2 linked regions of the Caenorhabditis elegans genome follow. The protein of the gene in region 2 purifies or fractionates together with the protein of the main gene of each other region. This does not show direct contact. Each region holds a gene or a part of one and is shown on either strand. Other genes may lie near its edges.

The links. Proteins that work in one complex are often made in the same cells at the same time.
Region 1: the proteins of tdrd-3 (region 2) and smg-6 fractionate together in Caenorhabditis elegans (co-fractionation; one large-scale study listed by BioGRID). This does not show direct contact.

The regions. Positions count from the first base shown.
Region 1 is NC_003281.10:2,471,933-2,476,909, reverse strand, and holds the start of smg-6 (PIN domain-containing protein), read right to left. Parts: upstream 3,043-4,977; 5' UTR 3,030-3,042; coding exon 2,670-3,029; intron 1,569-2,669; coding exon 1,413-1,568; intron 801-1,412; coding exon 1-800.
Region 2 is NC_003283.11:939,231-946,873, forward strand, and holds tdrd-3 (Survival of motor neuron-related-splicing factor 30), read right to left. Parts: upstream 6,015-7,643; coding exon 5,483-6,014; intron 3,801-5,482; coding exon 3,285-3,800; intron 3,227-3,284; coding exon 3,167-3,226; intron 1,911-3,166; coding exon 1,395-1,910; intron 607-1,394; coding exon 413-606; 3' UTR 161-412; downstream 1-160.

The DNA of each region.
Region 1 (4,977 bases), on a different chromosome or scaffold from region 2:
GTCCCATTCTGCGAGCGCTGCACAATCTGAATTCTCCCAGCAAGACGTCCCGACGACATATGGTTCTCCAGCGTTCCATGATACTCCGAAGCATCATCATCCCGATCGTCATGCTCACCGCGGTACCGTCTCGGCTCTTTCGGCTTCTTCTCCACGGCGGCGTCTCTTCGTTTCGGATGGTTCTCGTCGTTGGCTCCACGTGTTCTCTGGTACAGAACACGTGGATTATAAGAGTTGCCGCTTCGCACAGAAGTCGGAGTTCTCTCACCACTTTTGAGCTCTTCCTCGGCTTCTTCTTCCTCTTTTTCCTCGGCGATACTTCCACCGAACGAGCTTTCTCTGTCGGATTCATCGGGATGGTACCGACTGTTGCCTCCACCTCTTCGATTATTCCTTCGGTTATTTCTCCTCGGAGACGCCGCTTTCTGAGCTTCCTGAGCAGCAGCTTCTTGAAGCTTCTGCTCCATCCGTCGCTCTTCCTCTTCCTCCTGCTCTTTCTGCATTGCAAACTCATTTTCCACCTCTTTACTCCAATCCATCGACGCGAAATTCTGCAGGTTCTGGCACATTTCCTCGAAACTGAACGCCTCGCCAAGGGAATTCATCGAGAAATTCGATGAGGCTCCACACTGAGATGCCGAGTCGAATGAGGTGTCAATGTGAAGTTGAGCACCGGTTTGAGGTGGCATTTCTGATTGGGTAGAGTTGATGGAATCGTTGCGTTGGCGACGGGATCCTTGAGGACGTCGGGCGATGGCGCCGTCCCCGCGCATGGAAGCTCGCTCGTTGAAGCCGCGGGTCTGGAAATTGAAAAGATTTAGCTTTAAAAGTTTGGTTGTTTGAACAAAAAAAGCTTTAGCTCAAAAAATATTTGATACGCAATTTTGTAAATGCGCGTCGTGTTTGCGTACTTGACTATCGTACTCAATGGTGATTTCCGCAAAAATTTATGTTTTTTTTCGAGAACGGACAATTTTCTAAGGTTGTTCAGAGTTTTACAATTCGAAACGGTATCATGCCTTCTTAAGGCGGTATTAAACGTAATTCTAAGTTCAGATTGTCAAATTTCTCAAATTCTGACAGTTTTCACCAGTAAAAACCTCGAATTTGTATGGAAAACTGTCCAGATTGATAAAATCTCTAGCTTTCTGTACTAGACGTGAATTTTCTTGAAGTGGGCTAATTTCTAAAGCTTTTCTCAGCTGTTTGGTACAATTTCTACTAAGTTTTACAGTTTTAGACTAGAATTTGAGCGATTTATCTCTTTTTCCCCAAAATTTCTTTTTTCCTAAAGTTTCCATATTCCCATCATACCTTACTGATCACTTCACATCCCACACATCCCATTAATTCTAATTAATTCACCCCTTCTCCCCCCCAGACACTTCCATTAAGAAAACCTGATAACCTACATAATGATTTCCGCCGGGTCGTTCGAACGGTTGCCGATGCTGCTGATGCTGCTGGTTACTGTATCTCCCATTATTCCGGTGATTCGATCGGTGGTTGCCCTGGTACTCCATATAGCCACCATGTTGCCGTGTGTCGTAGAGGGATTGTGTGGAATTCTGGAATTGGAATGGTTTTCGTGGGATTTGGGACATTTGTAGGGGTGTGCAACTTTTCAGTCAATTTCAGACTTTTGTCTAGTTCTGGGGATTTGAGTTCAATCTTGAGCAATTCTTAGCTTTTTTCCTGGAGTCTTCGAGACAAAATATAAGTTTTCAGCCAGTTTGAAGTTGGGTTCAGTCGGGTTTCATGAGAATTTGAGACCTTTTCCAGCTAAATTCCAGAGCCAAAATACGTGATCTCACGTGGTGTCAGAGTCTCCAATTTTGGCTTGATCTACGTAGTTCTACAAAAATTGCGGGAAAAGAGACGCAGAGTTCTCATTTGATTTCGCATTGTTAAGAACGTGCTGGCGTCACATTTTTTGGCCAAAAAATTCCCGCATTTTTGTAGATCAAACCGTTATGGGGCAACTTGATACCACGTGATTTCTCAAATTTTGAGGATTTTGAGTTACCTTCAGCCGTTCCACAGTGGCTTTAGAGTTAAATATTTGGATTTTTGGCGTTTTTGGGGATTTTCAGCCAACTAAGGTATTTTCTCGTGCTAATAATGAGTTTTTAAACAATTTTTGAGGGTTTTCAGTCAATTTCAGCTACTTCATAGTGAAGACTTTGGGTTTCGAGAGATTTACTGAAAATTTTTGGCTTTTCCCGTAAAAATATCAGTTTTGCCATAGATTTTAAGATTTTCCGTTAATTCAAGTCGTTTTCTAGTGCTTTTAAGGTATTTTGAGACATTTTCAGCTGAATTTGGGGCTTTTATCATGCTAAAATATTAGTTTTTCAAAATTTGCTGAGGGTGGTGTCAGGATGTCCCATCACGGTTTGATCTACGAAAAATACGGGAATTTTTATTACCAAAAATGTGGCGCCAGCACGTTCTTAACCATGCAAAATTAGTTGAGAACTCTGCGTCTCAACTCCCGCATTTTTTGTAGATCCACGAAGATCACGTCAAAATGAGGCACTCTGACACCGTTTCCCCGTGCTAGATAATGAATTTTTCCAAAATTTTTTGAGGGTTTTAGGTAATTTCAGTTTTTTTCTGTAGTGTTAGGGTAGAACTTTTGGTTTTTGAGCGATAAGATAAAAACTTACATAATTCGATGGCCCATCTGTTCTCTGTTGTTGTCGATAGCCTTTCTCAAATCGATTCCTTCCTCCACCTCGCTCATTCATGGCATTAATCACATTTGCATCGGGCGTCGTACTTCCAGATCCACCACGTGACGTCACACTGTCCGTATCGTTGCTTCTTCGTCTGGAATTGCCCGACATCGTCGTCGTTGTTGTGTTCAACTTCTCCGGGCGTGGTGGTCGTGCTTCTTCGTTCGTAGAGCTCAAGCTTTTCGTGCTCCCTCCCTGGCGGAGCATTCCTGGACGGTAGATTTGAATTTCTGGGCGCGGTTTTCGTGGAGCTCCCGTCCTAGATGACGAGGCGTCTGTGTCTCCGTTCATTTTGCTTGGTGAGCTGGAAATTTGGAATTTTGAGATATATCATAAAAGAGAAGCATGTAACATACAAAAAAAGGAAAATACAGATTCAGGCATGCCTACCTGCCTGCCTACCTACGCTATAAAACTGCAAAAGTTCAGGAGAAAAAGCTATAATTGAAGAGAAAGCACGCGGTGTCAAAGTGTCTCATTTCGGCTTGATCTACGTAGATCTACAAAAAATGCGGGAGAAGAGGCGCAGAGTTCTCAACTGATTTTGTATGGTTTCACATTTTTCTGGGCAAAAAAAACCGCATTTTTTTGTAGATCAAACCGTAATGGGACAGCCTGGCACCACGTGAGAACGGAGTTGGAGCAAAAAAATTTAATTAAGAAAAGGTGTTGACAGCGGGCTTTACGAGGGGATGAGCAGAGGATAAACAGATTTTTTCGCAAAAATTCGTCATTCCTCTAGATTTTAGACGGGATTTTGCATTTTCTAAAGCTGTGGGTGTTGGAAAACCGAAAACCGCCGTTGAAAATAGCTAAAAATCCGTGGGAATCTCCAAAAAAGCGTTGAAAACTTCAATTTTGTACCTAGAAATCCAGGAAAAAGCTGAAAATTGGTGTGATGTCAGAATGCCCCATATCGGTTTGATCTACGTAGATCTACAAAAAATGCGCGAATTTAGCCGCAGACTTCTCAACTGATTTCGCATGGTTAACACTGTGCTGACATCACATTTTTTGGGGAAAAAAATTCCCGCATTTTTGTAGATCACACCGTTACAACCTACCACACCACGTGGGAAAACTCATAGGTTCGACGAGAAACTTTTTGGTTAAAACTTTAAAAAATGTCATATTTTTAGGCTGAAACTAATATGAATAGTTAAAACCAAGCTATTAAGTTCTGAAAACCATACTTTATATAAATTAAGGGCCTTTTGGGTCTGGAAATTCGGATTTTTTGAGATTTTCCCTCCCAAGAATACTAGTAAACCCTAAATTTCTCCGATATCACAAGATCGCTACTTTTATTTCGATTTTCGCAAAGTAACAAAAAAAAAGTTTTATGTAACTTTTATGTCCCCCCACCACCAAACGTTTTCCTGTTCCGAAATGCAAACACATACAACACAGTGAAACAATTCTTATCACTGGTGGAGCGGGTACCTTCTGTTAAGCTAAACAGAACATACACGTCGGCGGGGTGGGGGGAGGGAAGGGGTAATTGTTTGATTAGCCACCCATCAAATAGAGACATGGGAAAGTACATGGGGGGTAACAATGGAATTTTCGGTATCGATTTCTAATTGGGGAAGACTCTAGTAGAGGCTCATTGGAAATTGGGAATTAAATAGCGTTTATAACCGAAATTTGAAATAAAAAATTCAAGAATATGGTAGTTTTCAAAGTAACGTTTCTAATTGGGATTTTAAACAAAAGTACAAAAGTACTACTAAAACGAAATTTGACAATTCTTTTTGCTCAAAAATTAAATTTCGTCATTTTTTAAAATTATATATATATATGTGTGTTGTAATTAATTACAATGCTCAAAAATGCAGCAATTTTTCAAATTTGAGCAATAAATGTTGTCAATTTACGTTCTTTTTCGATTAATATAGTAATTAAAGTAAGCTTTTTCAGCCTACTACAGCCTATTTGGACTAAAAAAAAACGGACCTCACAGAAATGATATATTTACTGATTTTTTCTCCCTCAGAGAGCAGTATAAACACACACGTGCATTGTAACAAAAAAACAGGGAACGAAAAGAAAAGAGTGAATGGGAAGAGAGAAAGAGAAAATGTGTGATATGAATTGGGCAGAGAAAAGGGATGACGGCTGGAGACGCTGAGAGGAGGGTGGGGTACGCAATTGTGCGTCGAGGGGGGAGGGGGTGTAATTGCGGACTATGGGAAGATGAGTATGACCTTTGGCGGAGAAGAAGAGGACCGTGGGAATG
Region 2 (7,643 bases):
CTCCTCTCTCCTCACCTCACGCCTACACAATTTTCACTTTTTACTTTTATTTCCCTTTTTTCTTTCCCAACGGTCTACAATTTCTTTCCCAATGGTTATTCTTTTTCATTTTTTTCTCTCAATATCTTTCCTACCATGACTATTACGTTGTCAATATTTTCGTCTTCCAAACTTTATGATTCCTTTATGAAATTCTTTTATGCCTAAACGTGGAGTAATAGGGATTTTGATTTTAAAAAAAGTCCAAAAAAGTTCCCAAATTCAGAAAAAAACACAAAAATCCGCTGATTGGTCCAAAAGTGGGCGGAGCCAATCGCTGATTGGTTGTAGTGCACATTTTGGAGAGAATTGTGATTTTTTCTAAACTTGAGACATTTTTGAACTTTTTAGTGTAAAAATACATAACACACAGCTATGGAATAATCAAAAAATCGACAGGAATTGTGTGCATATTTCCGTACTCGTTGTATCGAACGATGGCCGTGCGATTCGGCAGAAGCTCGGTCACGGTCGCCGGATAGAGATTGCCGTCGGTCCACGTGGCAAGGCACTGAGCTCCGACACGCCATTGGGGGCCACCGGTCTGTTGTTGGTGGGATTGTTGAACTGAAATTGAATGAAAATTTAAAAAAAATGTATTTTTGCACATTTTTGACTTAAAAAAATCTATTTTGCTATAAAAAAATTGATCGAAAAATTCATTTTTTCCAAAAAATTACATGAAAACTTTTTTTTCGACAAATTCCAAAGAATTTCCAATTTTTCGATAGTTTTAAATTCTAAAAATTTTTGAAAAACCAAAAAAAAATTCTAAACAATTTAGTTTCAAAATTTCCTTTTTTTTAAGCTGAAAATCAAAAAATTCTCGAATTTTCGCTTTTTTGATCGAAAAAACGCCTAAATTTCTAGTTGTCCTCTCGGAGTTCACAACTTTCGATGGAGCCCGTATTACTGGAATACAAAATTCTAAGAATGCGTATTAAACAACATATTTGAAGCGCAAAAATATCTCGCAGCGAAAACTACAGTAATTCTTTAAATGACTACTGTAGTCGATTTACGGGCTCGATTTTCGAAATTACGAATGAATTAATATTTTTCACTTCGAAAATCGAGCCCGTAAATCGACTACAGTAGTCATCTAAAGGATTACTGTAGTTTTCGCTACGAAATATTTTGCGCGTCAAATATGCAGTAATCCTTTAAATGACTACTGTAGCGATTGTGTCGATTTACGAACTCGTTTTTCGAAAATATTTTTTCTCGAGCTCGTAAATCGACACAAGAGCTACAGTAGTCATTTAAAGGATTACTGTACTTTTCGCTACGAGATATTTTGCGCGTCAAATATGTTGCGCAGTACGCATTCTCAGAATTTTATGTCTTCGTAATACCATTTCTCGGCTCTTGATGCCCGAAATTTCCCATTCCACGTGGAGCTCCATGATAGGATTGCCCTTGATTATTTCCACGTGGTGGTGGATTTTGTTGAGCCTGTTGTTGGAAGCCACGTGGATGATGCTGTGATGGTGGTGGTGGTGGTGGTCCCTGTTGAGATCCTCCGTGAAATTGGCCGCCACGTGGAGGTCCCTGCTGGAAGAAATAGTTTCCGGTGCCACGTGGCGGGCCTTGTTGCTGGAAGTTCCCTTGATTTCCACGTGGCGTCTGATGAGGCGCTCCTTGCTGGAAACTCTTCTGATTTCCACGTGGATGCCCTTGATTCGAATTTTGATTGAAGCTTCTAGGCGAATTCTGGAAATTTCTAGATACTTCTCTAGGCTGCTGGCCTACTGAGCCTGTGCTCGGACGCTGCTGACGATCGCGATCTCGAAAATAGTCGGCTGCTCTATTTTGTGGGCCAGGATTCTTCGGGCCACGGTTACCGTCACGGGCTGCTGCTGGGCGCTGATCTGAAAATTTTAATTTTTTTAAAAATTCTTTATTAGGTCGGATTTTGAAAAAAAATTGTTTTCTTCGCTAAAAACCCAAAAACTGAAATTTTCACACATGTTACAGTATCATAGATTCAAATCGAAGGCAAACGCGCTCCACGGACAATTTTCAACGCTCCGCCCCCGAGCTATGGGTCTCGTTAGGTATTTGGCGGCAAAACCGTAAATTCAAATATTTCGACAATTTTCAAGGACTTTTTGCAGTTTTTATTACGTTTTCCGTTGTCTTTACTGATTTTCATGCCGAAATTGATGAGATCAAGTCTAAAAAAGATCATTTCGGCATAAAAATCAATAAAAACCGAGAAAATCACAACAAAAATAACAAAAAAATGCTTAAAAATCGGCAAAACGTATTGAAAATGTTTGAATTTTTACGATTTTTCCGCCAATTACCTAACGAGACCCATGACTCGGGGGCGGAGCGTTTTTAATTGACCCTGGAGCGCGTTTTCATTTCAAAACGACTTTTTTCTGCGCTTCTATAATATAAAATTCGATTTTTAACTTAAAAAGATTTTTTAAAAATTTCTTCAAAAAAGTAATTATTTCTGAGAATTTTCGTTCCAAAATCCGGAAAATCGAATTTTTTTTCCCCGATTTTTCGATTTTCCAGAAAATAACGAATTTCTGGCTTCCCCCATAAATTGAAATGGAAGAGTTTGCCAAACTAGGCCATTTTGGCTCGGCCATATCTGGGGTAGATTTACGGCGCGTTGCGTGTCACGTCGCGGCTCGATTTTAGTTGTAAAACTAAATGTATTTGTCCGTGTGGAGTACACGATACTTTCTCACGCGTTGTCCGGCAGGCGATTGTCAATGGAGCGCAAAAAATTCAATGAGGAAGGCAAAGAACCCCGTGAAAACTCAAATTTTTTCGTTTTTTTTGAATAGCGCACGGGGTTCTAACCTTCCTCATTGAATTTTTTGCGCTCCATTGACAATCGCCTGCCGGACAACGCGTGAGAAAGTATCGTGTACTCCACACGGACAAATTCATTTAGTTTTACAACCAAAAACGAGCCGCGACGCGACACGCAACGCGCCGTAAATCTACACCAGATATCACCAAGCCAAAATGGCCTAGTTCGGCAAACTCTTCCATTTCAATTTATGAGGTAAGCCAGAAATCCGCGATAGCGGAAAATCGAAAATTTTAGTTTTTTTTTTTCAATTTTCTGGAATATTCAAAAATTTTCGAAAATCTGATTTACTTTGCGGAGCAGAATTTTTCGGGCCACGGTTATCGTCACGGGCTGCTGCTGGTCGCTGATCTGAAAATTTTCCGGATTATTTTCTCCAAAAAAAAATTTTTTTTTTCGAATCGCCTACCTCGCCTACCACCTGCACCTGGATATTTGAAATTCTCCGAATTTTTCACATTCAATTTTCCCATTTTTTCAGTCAAATGCTGTACATTTTGCGGAGGAAGAAGCTCCACAGCCTTCTCAGATGCTCCGGCTCCGGCTCCTCCACCGATAAAATCGAAAAGTGTCGCCGGCCCACTTGGCTTGTGATTCGCGTACTCTCCAACATCCACGTCCGGCCCATCTTCACTATTCTTCCGGCCGCGGCCTTTTCGGGCCGGCCTGGCGGCCGGAACTCGCCGCTCTTTCGGTGGAGCTGGAGCTTTTACTGGTGGTGGAGCAAGATTCGGTTTTGCGAATGTCTTCGCCGTGTCGGAATCCAAATCCTTTAGGATTTCAGCTCGATTCTTCGAGAAATCATCGTCAGCGTCTTCTCCTTCTTTTTGAGTTTTTGGCATCACACTATTCGCCTTAAATCCCTTCTCCAGTTGACCTTTCTGTCCACGTTTTCCAAAGGATATCCATTTTGGGGCACCGGTTCCTGGAGAAAAAATTATTGGCTTACGTGCCTACCGCCCCCGCCTGCCTGCCTACCTGCCTCAAATTTGTTATTTTGAGAACGATAGGCAGTTTTATGCAAGTTTTCAAAAGTCTTTTTGAATTCCTACCTATTCTCAGAAATTTATTGTATTTTTATAATCGTGTAAATTTTGATGAAAATCTCAGCTCCGCCCATTTTTTTGCTCTTTTTTCAAAGTTTTTGTCCGAAATTCGAAATTTTATTTGTTTTTCGGTTGAAATGGGTAATTTAATTTTATAAAAAGGTTAATTTTTGGATAATTTATTTTTTGTTACAAATTTGAATTTTTTTATTTATTGCTTCTTGGCCAAAAATTGGAATGAAATAATTTTTTGCCCGAAATTCAGACAATTTTTTCAAGTTTTTTTTTTCATTTTAAAATAACGTTTGCAGTACTGTTTTGGTCTTAAATTTTTAAATTTTTATTTTAAACCTTTTTTCAGTAGAAAATTGGTCGTCCAAAATTAAAAAAAAAATTTTTTAGGGCGAAAATTCAAAAAAAAAAATTTTTTTTTAATGTTTTTGTATAAAAATTATTTTGTTATTTTAACCAAAAAATCGAAAAAAAAAGATTAATTTTTTTGGTATAAAATTTAGAGAAAAAGTGTTTTCGAAAAAATTCATACTCAAAAAATTAAAAAATAATTTAAAAAAAAATTTTTTTAAAGAATTTTCAACCAAAATTAATTAGTTTTTATTTTAGGACGAAATATTATTACGAAAACACAAAATTCTGAGAATGCGTTTTACACAACATATTTGACGCGCAAAATATCTCGTAGCGAAAACTACAGTAGTCCTTTAAATTACTACTGTAGCGCTTGTGTCGATTTACGGGCTTGATTTTCGAATTGAAAAAAATGTTAATTCATTCGTACAAAATTCCGAAAATCAAGCCCGTAAATCGACACTAGCGCTACAGTAGCCATTTAAAGAATTACTGTAGTTTTTGGTTCGAGATATTTTGCGTGTCAAATATGTTGTGCAATACGCATTCTCAGAATTTTGTGATCTTGTAATAATCCATCGAAAGTAGTGAACTCCGAGAGGACAACTAGAAATTTATTCGTTTTTTTTTTCAATTTGAAAAAGCAAAAATTCGAGAATTTTTCGATTTTCAATTTAAAAAAAATTGAAATTTAAAAATGTAGAATTTTTTTAAATTAATTTTCTAAACATTATATTTTCGATTTTCAAAGAAAATCGAAAAAAAAATCTAATTTTTCAGATTGGGATTTTCTAAATTTTGGAATTTTCATACTAAATTTTTAACAGTAAAAACAATTTTTTTCGGTTTTTCAAAATTTTCGAAAGAACCTGAATTTTTTTTTGAATTCTTTGACAAATTTTTGCTTGTCAAAAACTTTCGAAAAATTGAAAATTATCTGGTATTTTTCATTAAAAATTTTCAATGAAACAATTATTGTTAAAAAAATTATTGGGAAAAAAAAATTTAGTTTTTTTTCGCTCATTTTTAAAATCAAATTTTCAGAATTTTGTATTCGAGTAATATTTAAAATAATGTTTTTTTTGTTAATTAACTGTTAACTTAACTAAAAATTATATTTTTTGTCAAAGTTCAGAAAATTCAATTTTTAAAAAAATTTGCTTCAGAAAAATCAATATTTTTTCCGAATATCTACCTTTCCCAACACTTGACTTGAATCCACCAGCTCTAACCGAACTCTTTTCCACATTCCATTTCTCAATCATCTCATCAACCTTTCCACCCAAAATCCGTATATCCTTCTTCCCCAAAATCAAAAATCCTCCTTCAACATCAACTTTTCCCAATATCAAAATCTTGGTTCCTGGTGGTGTGTCTGAAGTGATTCCAGGAATCGACTGAAGCAAAAGCGCCGAAATTGAAGAATGTCCATCGGTGAAGAAAAGACGAATTATTGAGTGAGCCGGATCTGTCTGATTGAGCTCTTCCTTGATACGTGGCACTGACACATTTCGATAACGAAGTAGTTGGAGGACACACGGGCCTTCGAATACGAAATCTTCCTTTTTGAGCAAATTTATTATACTTGCTTCACCGAAATTTCGCAGATCCTCGTTGAGAATCACTTTTTCAATTTCCGAGCCATTTTTCGGTAGGAGCTCATCGTCGAAGAGCTGCGAGGTTTGTGACTCGTTGATGTACCAGCCGTCTTTTCGAAGTTGATCCATCTGGAATATTATGGGAAATAGAATTTGGATATGGAGCAGAAGAAAATTTCTAATTTTTCAACAAAAATTGTTTTTTTTCTTTTTTGAAATGCTCTAAATCAGGAGTGGCCGGCAAATTTTTTTCGTCGACAAATTAGGCAAATTGCCAAATTTTCGGCAAATCAGCCGGTTTGCCGGAAATTTTCAATTTCGGCAATTTGCCGTTTTGCCGGAAATTTTCAATTCCGGCAATTTGCCGTTTTGCCGGAAATTTTCAATTCCGGCAATTTGCCGTTTTGCCGGAAATTTTAAATTCCGACAATTTGCCGTTTTGCCGGAAATTTTCAATTCCGGCAATTTGCCGTTTTGCCGGAAATTTTAAATTCCGACAATTTGCCGTTTTGCCGGAAATTTTCAATTTCGGCAAGTTGCCGTTTTCCGGAAATTTTCAATTCCGGCAATGTGCCGTTTTGCCGGAAATTTTCAACTCCGGTAATTTGCCGTTTTGCCGGAAATTTTCAATTCCGGCAATGTGCCGTTTTGCCGGAAATTTTCAAATCGGGCAATTTGCCGTTTTGCCGGAAATTTTCAATTCCGGCGATTTTCCATTCATTGATCCAAAAATTCCGAAAGAATGAAAAATACAACTTTTAAAAACGTGATTTTTTACATTTGGTTCATTTTCTCGTTACGACCGATCAGCGATTTGCTCCGCCCCCTTGTTAACCAATCATATGAGTGGGCGGAGTTCGAAGACGCTGATTGGTTCAAAACAGGAAGTTCTGGCTTAATTCTAAATTGGCGAAACTCTCAACCAATCAGCATCTTCGAACTCCGCACACTCCCTCTGATTGGTTCAAAAATGGGCGGAGCGAATCGCTGATTGGTCGCAGTTCTCATTTTGCGGAAAATTCAATATGAAGTTTGAGAAATGGATTTAGGATTTTTCCACTTTTGAAAAAAAAATTTTTTTGAAATGTTCTAAATATCAAGCAAATAGGAATTTTCAGAGCATAACAAATTAAATTGATGTATTATTTTTTTTCAAAATTTCGAGTATTTCTTCAAAAAATAAAGATTTCAATTATCAGAAGATTAAAAAAAAATTCTGGAATAAAAAAACTTAAGAAATTTGAGTTTAAAAACTTAATAAAATTCAACTTTTTCAAGGTTTTTTGAAAAATTAAAGTAGTGATTTTTATTGGAATGCTCTGAAAATTCCAAAATATTCAGAAAATGTCAATATTTTTAAATTCTAAACTTTTAGAGTCGAAAAATTATTTTGTTAAATAAATGTACTAAATTTGAGAAAATCCCGAAGAGGAATTTAAAAAAAAACTCAAAAATGTGTATTTTTTAAAGAAAAAATGCGCGAAATTCAAACTTTTCCATAAAAAACTTTTAGAAAACAATTTCTCTAGGGTTTGAATATAAAATTCAACAAAATAAATATTATTGGGATTATAAAAAACCCAAAAAAATTTTTTTAAAAAATTCAATTATAAAACAAAAATATATGATTTATATAAGGTCTGTACATTAAAATGTTTGAAAAATTCAAAAAAAATTGGTCAAATTTGGGGTTTTTTGTATCAATTATTGTTACACACACGTGGCAAGTAGATTATGGTGGGCGAGAAATATTAAAAA